Linked DNA regions of Xenopus tropicalis. The protein of the gene in region 1 binds, or shares a complex with, the protein of each later gene. Links are inferred from orthologs where the notes say so. Each region holds a gene or a part of one and is shown in the gene's direction. Other genes may lie near its edges.

What was found. Proteins that work in one complex are often made in the same cells at the same time.
Region 2: the proteins of edar (region 1) and eda are in contact, whole or in part, in a crystal structure (PDB 7X9G), measured with the Homo sapiens proteins. The link is inferred for Xenopus tropicalis from reciprocal best matches to the Homo sapiens genes EDAR and EDA. Residues at the interface, in NP_071731.1 of Homo sapiens: Glu55, Pro56, Tyr57, Leu58, Lys78, Ile86, Arg88, Arg89, His90, Asp92, Glu94, Gly95, Phe97, Val134; in NP_001390.1 of Homo sapiens: Gln256, Ser258, Ala259, Gln261, Asp265, Asp273, Arg289, Tyr310, Tyr311, Lys340, Thr341, Tyr343, Ser370.

The regions. Positions count from the first base shown.
Region 1 is NC_030678.2:109,233,091-109,236,745, forward strand, and holds part of edar (tumor necrosis factor receptor superfamily member EDAR precursor), read left to right. Parts: intron 1-508; coding exon 509-595; intron 596-1,181; coding exon 1,182-1,310; intron 1,311-1,754; coding exon 1,755-1,826; intron 1,827-2,600; coding exon 2,601-2,670; intron 2,671-3,300; coding exon 3,301-3,460; intron 3,461-3,655. UniProt on the Homo sapiens protein: Receptor for EDA isoform A1, but not for EDA isoform A2. Mediates the activation of NF-kappa-B and JNK. May promote caspase-independent cell death.
Region 2 is NC_030684.2:43,623,279-43,627,033, forward strand, and holds the start of eda (ectodysplasin-A), read left to right. Parts: upstream 1-1,325; 5' UTR 1,326-1,555; coding exon 1,556-1,855; intron 1,856-3,755. UniProt on the Homo sapiens protein: Cytokine which is involved in epithelial-mesenchymal signaling during morphogenesis of ectodermal organs. Functions as a ligand activating the DEATH-domain containing receptors EDAR and EDA2R. May also play a role in cell adhesion.

The DNA.
Region 1 (3,655 bases):
GACCAATTGGTTCCCTAGTGCAGCCAAAAAAGCAGTGCTATCCCTAGTGGTGTTAGTTTAATCTCTAACTGTTAACGTTCAACACAAGTCAAAGTGATCATAAGAAATCCCAGCTCTCATTAATACTCAAGTGATTAATATAAATAATCATATGATCAGTGTGTTTATTCGCAGTATGTTATGAAGCCTTTGGTTTTTCCCACACTGGGCGACAGACATATTTTTAGTTATTTAATATCAAAAAAATGTGTTATTAAAAAATAAATGCTAATTAAAACATGCCAAAATGTAGTTGTGTGTGATGTGAAAATGTACTGTAGCAATATAGCATTTATATTTATAGTGTCAGTTGACCTTTACCAAAAGCAGTTTGATTATGCCTTTTTAAAGATGGTGTTGATTTGAATTGGATTGCCTTTACTTGGTTTCATTTGTAACTGTCATATATTTGCTTGAAGTTTTCTATTTTTTAGTGCTGACCATAAAGTGATTTATGTCTCCACTACAGGTATTGGATTATCAGCCCCTATTTCTGGCAGTTCCACAAGTACAACCGGCTCAAGCACCATCTCCCCTTTCCAACATCCACACAAAGGTAAGAGCACATGTTAAAGATGATGGTAACTCTCTTTACTCAATGCCAAAAAACTACTGATGAAGTGGATGGTGGCATAGCGACTTACAGTGCCAGCCTGGATATTAATGGTCAACAAAACCCTTCCCTTGGTTAAGCTAACTTACAAAGCCTAGGGAAATGTAAGATTTGGGCCATTTATTACATTACCTAGTAGAAATGCAAATATCATGAAAACAAAAATGAAAAAAATATTAATGTAAATTGTGAAACATTAAGAAAAGCCCTCTGAACAAATTTAAGTTTTGTTGGTGGGTATATGTCCCCTTAAAGTAGAAAGTTACTATGTTGGCATTTAATGCTATGGCAAAGAGTTTTGAAATGTATTTTAAAGATGGAACTGCTCTGAAGTATTAGGGAAGTGGGTATATCCAATACACAGTTCAGCATATAGTATAATACAACCTTTTCTGTATGTTATTTATCATTGCCTTTCACAAGGCATAAGTAATGGAAGAAATGTACATTGTAGTATGGCTTCATAACAGGATTAGCTTGTTTGTTTATAAGGAGGACTGCCTAACTAACATGACTTTTGTCCCTTTAGTAGAAGTGTCTGGACAAGGACATTTGGCCACGGCTCTGATTATTGCAATGTCAACAATATTCATCATGGCCATAGCCATTGTTCTCATCATCATGTTCTACATTTTAAAGACCAAGCCTTCTTCTCAAGGTAATACTAACATGTATGGTGTTGGGGGAAACAGAGGACACAGGGGAATACTCAGTCAACCATAGTCCAACATAGGAGACTGTGTGGTCTGGACAAGTAGCATTAAAGGGAAGTATACCCCTTGAAAAGGAGAAGGAAAGCTACTGAGGCCTTTTATTGCCAAGATTGGTCATAATATTGCAAGCTAGAACACTATATTTATTCTGCAGAATGCTTTACAATACCTGAGTAATCATCAGAATATTAGGGAAGGGTATTCTGTCCCTCTTTACCATGCTGTATTCTATTAAAAGTAAACCACTTTTTAGTGAATTGCAAATAAATTGCCCCTACAGAAATAAGATACCAATTGCAAACAGAATACCTCATTTTCATTCGATGGGAATATTATATAAGATATTCTGTCATACTTATCAAGACCAAACGTTTGCCTTTCTTATACAGCATGTTGCACCGGCCCTTCAAAGAATGTGGAAGCTCAGATCAACCAACAGGAAGAGAAAAAGGAGGTGCCAGGTAAGGCCTGACCCACTCAGGAGTACTTATTACTTGATAGCAGGACATAAGCAGTAGCATTCACTTTCATTATAGTCACTCATGGTCACCTTTATATACTGTATATAATAATGACTGGGTGCTTGGATGTTGCTATTATATGTTGTGTCATAACTATACAAATCCAACAAACTGTAGCTGAAGTATAATTGATCTGTTGATTGTAGGCTACATTATTCTTTCTTATAGTTTTTGGATATAAAATGTGGTTCAACATCAACTCAACATCACATTTCTTATTGTTGTTTTACACCTGGGTATACAACAAACTGTAAATTAATCATACACCTCAGTACATACTGAACTTACTTTACTACCCCAGAGGTCCAACATATATAACAATAATGGTCTAGGCCTTCATAGCAGCTCTACATACCTGGTTAGGTTATCTTTTGAGTTTTGATAGTGCGGCATTTGAAATGGGCACTTAAGGAGGTCCTGAAACCTTTCATCCACACCTGTTGTGTCCAGAGCACCTTTAAGAAATGGTGCTCTGTACATGTCCTAAACTTACACTTGCCAAATAAGGTTCTCTCTCTGGGCAGATACATTAAAAAAATACAGTACATTACAAGTTAATTGAAAAAAATACATTAAAATATATTCTTGTACCTCTGTTTATATTCCATATATGTTGAACATTGTGTTTAGCCTTTATACTGTATACTATCATCCACAGGATCAAAGTAAGTTTTTTTTACATATTAATTAGTAATGTCATTACATGTTTTACAGCTGAAAATATCTTTTCTGAAAAAGATGAATTTGAAAAATTGTCCGAGACCCAGACTAAAACAGAAAAAAAGTAAGCAACTATGAACATATTCCATAGTAATTCCACTTTCCTTTCATTATAATGTGAGACCAGTTGCCTAGCAACAAGGGCAGTAGATTGAGCAACTGCTGCGGGCCTTGTGGTGTTGGGGACTGAGTGGGGATCAGTCTGATGTGCAGTCTGGTTGCAACTCCTTTTTAATAGGTGCAATATAATGGTGCCTCTTGATAAGCACAATAGTCTTTGAACGAAAGCAGCTAGCTGCCAAAAAAAGTAAGGTCAACCTTATGTGTAAATAAGGACTAACTTACAGTGCAGTGGGTAGAGTTATAATACAGGCTTTTAATTATGGCTACTTTCCAAAATACAAAATGTTTATAAACTTATATATTTGTATAAGTTCTGATTTACTAGAGAGTGTCTGTACTTTTTGTGTTTGTAATATATCTTCTAGCCCCTGCTACAATATTGTCTACTGGCAGGGTGTCAGAATTTCCCACCTGTACAGTGGGATGGGGCTTGAGACATAGCACTGTGTTCAGCCTCCAAGCCAAGTTGAGAGAGCACCAATGTCATTGCTAATGTATTAAGGGTATACAGAGCAAATCGAATTGGAACTATGGCAAAACTATACTAACATATGTATATATAATGTTTTAGTGAAAATGATGCCTCGTCAGAGAATGAGCGTCTTTTAAGCCGTAGCATGGACAGCGATGAAGAGGCAGCCATTGACAAACAAGGGAGCGCGGAGCTCTGCCTCTTATCATTAGTGCACCTGGCAAGGGACAAATCCACCACAAACAGCAAATTAACTGGGGTAAGATGCCAGTACTTATCTGACACTTAATGCATTGCATAAATAACTCCCTTACCTTTTAAGAGTTTCCCTTCTATGAACACTAGACCCCAGTATCCTGATTATGGCACTAAAAATACAGGCCTTACTGCTCATGCAAAGACACCTGACAGCCAAGGCATTTAGGTTGCTATATATATGGGCTTCTGTAGCTCT
Region 2 (3,755 bases), on another chromosome or scaffold:
GGGGGCACTGTGTATGGGGGTGCTGTCTATTGGGCCATCGTGGGCACTATTTTAACTAATTTAAAAATGGAGTGTGGCAATTGGGGCGTGGCCACAAAGTGGGCGTGGTCAAAATATTGTCCTCTTTTCATTTTTCAAATGTTGGGAGGTATGGCAGAGCACAGCATGCAGGGGAAGAGGTAAAATATAGCAGACATTTAAAAGGGGCCCTTATAAGTCTGGGAACCTTAGGCCTTGTTAATACGGCTAGAACTTCTAGTGGTACATTAATATTGTTTTGCTTTCAACTGATAAAAAATAGAAGGAAATAACATAGATTTATGTACCACTGGAATTGGCCCTGTTTATAACTTTGGCAAATGCACATAACTGTTGGCATGTCTGAAGTTGATATGCCCTTTATCAGTTTCATTTAGTAATTTTACTGGGATGTCTGGGGTTAATATGCCCTTTATCAATTTAATGTAGTCATACTGACACTTTTGAAGTTAATATGTCCTTTATTCTTTTTATTTAGTGATTATAATGGCACATCTGGGGCATGTAAAGAGGGTGTGGTATGTGGGGGCGTGGTCACAAAGCAGGCGTGGCCAAAAAAATTTCACCAACTACCCGCGTCACATATTTTTGTCCCTCTTTCTCTTAATGAAATGTTGGGAGGTATGCCCCGAGCTCGTAAATTTAACGAGTCAGGGGAGGAACGGTCGGGCAGAGGGAGCGCTGCAAGTGTCGGGTCTGGGCCGCTGGGGGCATTTATACTGATGTTGTAGAAGGGATGCATTAAGGCGACTTGGGGGCACATTGGGCTTCCAGAAGCTCTGTGTGTAAATGTATTTTTTTAATTTTACCAGCCCTTCCAGTAAAACAGGTGGCAATGCTACCTACAGGTCCAGTCACTTGCAGGCACCCTGTTTAGAAGCAAAAGTCTTATTGGTTGCTATGGGTTATTGCACCCAGGCATTTGGGGATATGTCTGCCAGCTGCAAGGACAGAGTAGTTTAGTAGTATGTACAGGCAACAACCATGCACCTTTTAAAAAGAATATTAATGCACAATGACAAATACGTTGTGGCACCACATAGTATTGTAAATTGTATAGCTTTACAGAATATAACCTGCGGCGTGTACTGTCATATATCATAACATCACTCAGCTGTCAAACATATTTTCACAACAGGGCGCTGAAGTTCCCTGCGTTTCCGACAGATGGCACCCTGCGCATGTGATCTTGGGGAGGAGTCGCTGAGATGAGACGCAGTGCATTTTGGGATAAGGCGCACTTTTATCTGGAAAAGAGTTCCCAGCTTTGCTTTGTTGTGGGCGGGGCGAGTAGGCGGGGCCAGTGTAAAATGCTGGGCTTAGGGGGGCGGTGGCTTTGAATGTTGGAGGCGTGTTTGTGGCAGAACTGGGCAGCTCGCCTGCTGTCCCGTCCCTCCCGCGTCTCCTCTCCGCCAGCATCTGTAGGGCTCGCCTCGGCCGCCACTCATGGCGCTCTAGTGGCTGCAGTTCCCCCCCACAGTCCCAGTGCGCCCTTGGGGCCGCTCCTTTCCCGAGCATGGCACCGCGGAGTTCCTCGGACAAGCGTGGCATGGACTCCTCTGACTCCTCCCTGCAGCAGCAGCCTGCATGTGCCTGTCCGAAACGTTGTGGGAGCTGCCGGCTCTTTCTGGGCTTTTTCGTCCTGTCATTGTCCTTACACCTGGTGACCATTTGCTGCTATCTGGAATTGCGCTCGGAGTTAAGACGGGAGCTGTCTAGGGGTTCGGGGACAAGTGAAGCTCCGGTAGGGACTTTGCAGCAGTGGAGGACTGCTTTGCGACTGGTTGACATGCAGCAGCCCAACGACCGGCGACAGGTACCTTCCACTCTTTCATTTAGTGGGAAGTCATTCAGAAATATTTACAGAAGTACAACTTTCAGCCCCTCCTACTCCACTTCTGGGAGTTGTAGTTTCACAACAGCACCAGGGGCCTCTGCAGGGAGAGATGTGCCTCAAGTTGCAATGGGATGTGTTTAGGGATGTGCAGCAACCTGTCACTCTTCAGCTGTTACATGAATGCTGTCAGTGCATGCCAGGGGGTGCTGGGGCATCACTTTAGATGATCAGTGTAGCGCTCCGGCAGGATTTCCAGTGGTGAGGATGCCCTGGAAGCTGGCCCATCTGGTACCCTTTGGGACATACAGAGGGGAGGACCACTGTCCTAGAGATGCTCACCTAAAACTGTCAATCATTATCTTCCTTATCAGGCAGCTAAATCAGTGCTTATCAGTTATGGGGATTCCAAGCTTACTAATGTGTGCTTTATCTGAACAATTCACTGCTACCTTCATTGTCTACAGGCATGTTAAAGAGATACATCCTACAGTGGTTAACTGCAACTTCCAGCACCTCTGGCACCCACTGACTGCTGCAGGATGTAAACCCAAAGCTATCAGTTTGCTTAATGAAAGAAAATGTCATTCTAAACAGCTTTCCAATATATCTAGTATAAATAAATTTGAAGCAACTGGACTTGTTTAGTAATCATTGAAGACGTTTCACTACTCATCCGAGCAGCTTCTTCAGTTCAGTTGAACTGAAGAAGCTGCTCGGATGAGTAGTGAAACGTCTTCAATGATTACTAAACAAGTCCAGTTGCTTCAAATTTATTTATACTAGATATACCATGACCTGGATGAATGAAAATCTTCATAGACAGCTTTCCAATATACCTTCATTCTAAACGTCAATGATTTCAAAGTTATTTGTAAAAGTAATACCAATAGAGATAGAGAGAATAGAAAGGGACTGCACTCTGTAGCAATTATACAATACATATATATTGGAGGGTTGCTTTGCATAACAAGTACCTTAATTAAGCAAAATTATATTTGGGTTTACATCCCCTTTAGCGCCTGTATCAGATGATACCATCATTCTGCTGTGTTGAGCCTATGTATGGTGTGCATTGGTGGCAAGCTCTTGTATGTATTTGCATAGCATGGAAAATATAATATATATAAGTGGTAGTGGACTGAGCAAACACCTTACTGTTGTAATGGAAAGAACAATCTCCTGTCCTTTGTTACAAGAGAGAAAAGTGGATTTAGTCTAGTAGAATGCAAACTTAGCCTTTTGCATCTGAATGGAACAAACCAAATGGAACTACATAAGTTTATTCTTCTTGCCATGTTAATATTTACTGCTAAATTGTATATTAGATTGGCCCCATTGCTGTTTGCTGTCCGTGAATTAATGGAACCCTGTTTGGTGTTGGTATAAGGGTATCACCTAGGATTGTAAATGCAGATGGTTTATTTACAGTAATGGCTGCCATGCATGCATTGGTATTGCCAACTGTGCTTGTATAGGCAGCTTTTAGAACATATTGTCCTACAATTCCATTAAATTGCAGTTGGTCTGTCCAGACTAAAAATGTGATGGTTCTTGTTAATGAACATGAGGCAGTGGCAGTTTTGGAAGTGAGATGGGACACAGCTCATTTAGTGAATCAGAGCCATTGGGCTATCCATGAATGCAGTAGATTTGGAAAAGAGTGGGACTGCGGCTCTGCCAAACAAATGAGCAGTTCTATTCAGCAAGCCACATGAGTTGAAGAATATTTGCCTGGACAACTTGATACATCTCTAAATTTTACTTTTGTATGGCCAACCAGTGAACTAATTCTCTGCCTTTTGTGGTCACCATTAGAACTGGCCCTCAGGCAGTTGTACTGGAATCACTGAACCGCAGCATGTCTCGCAATTATTTTTGT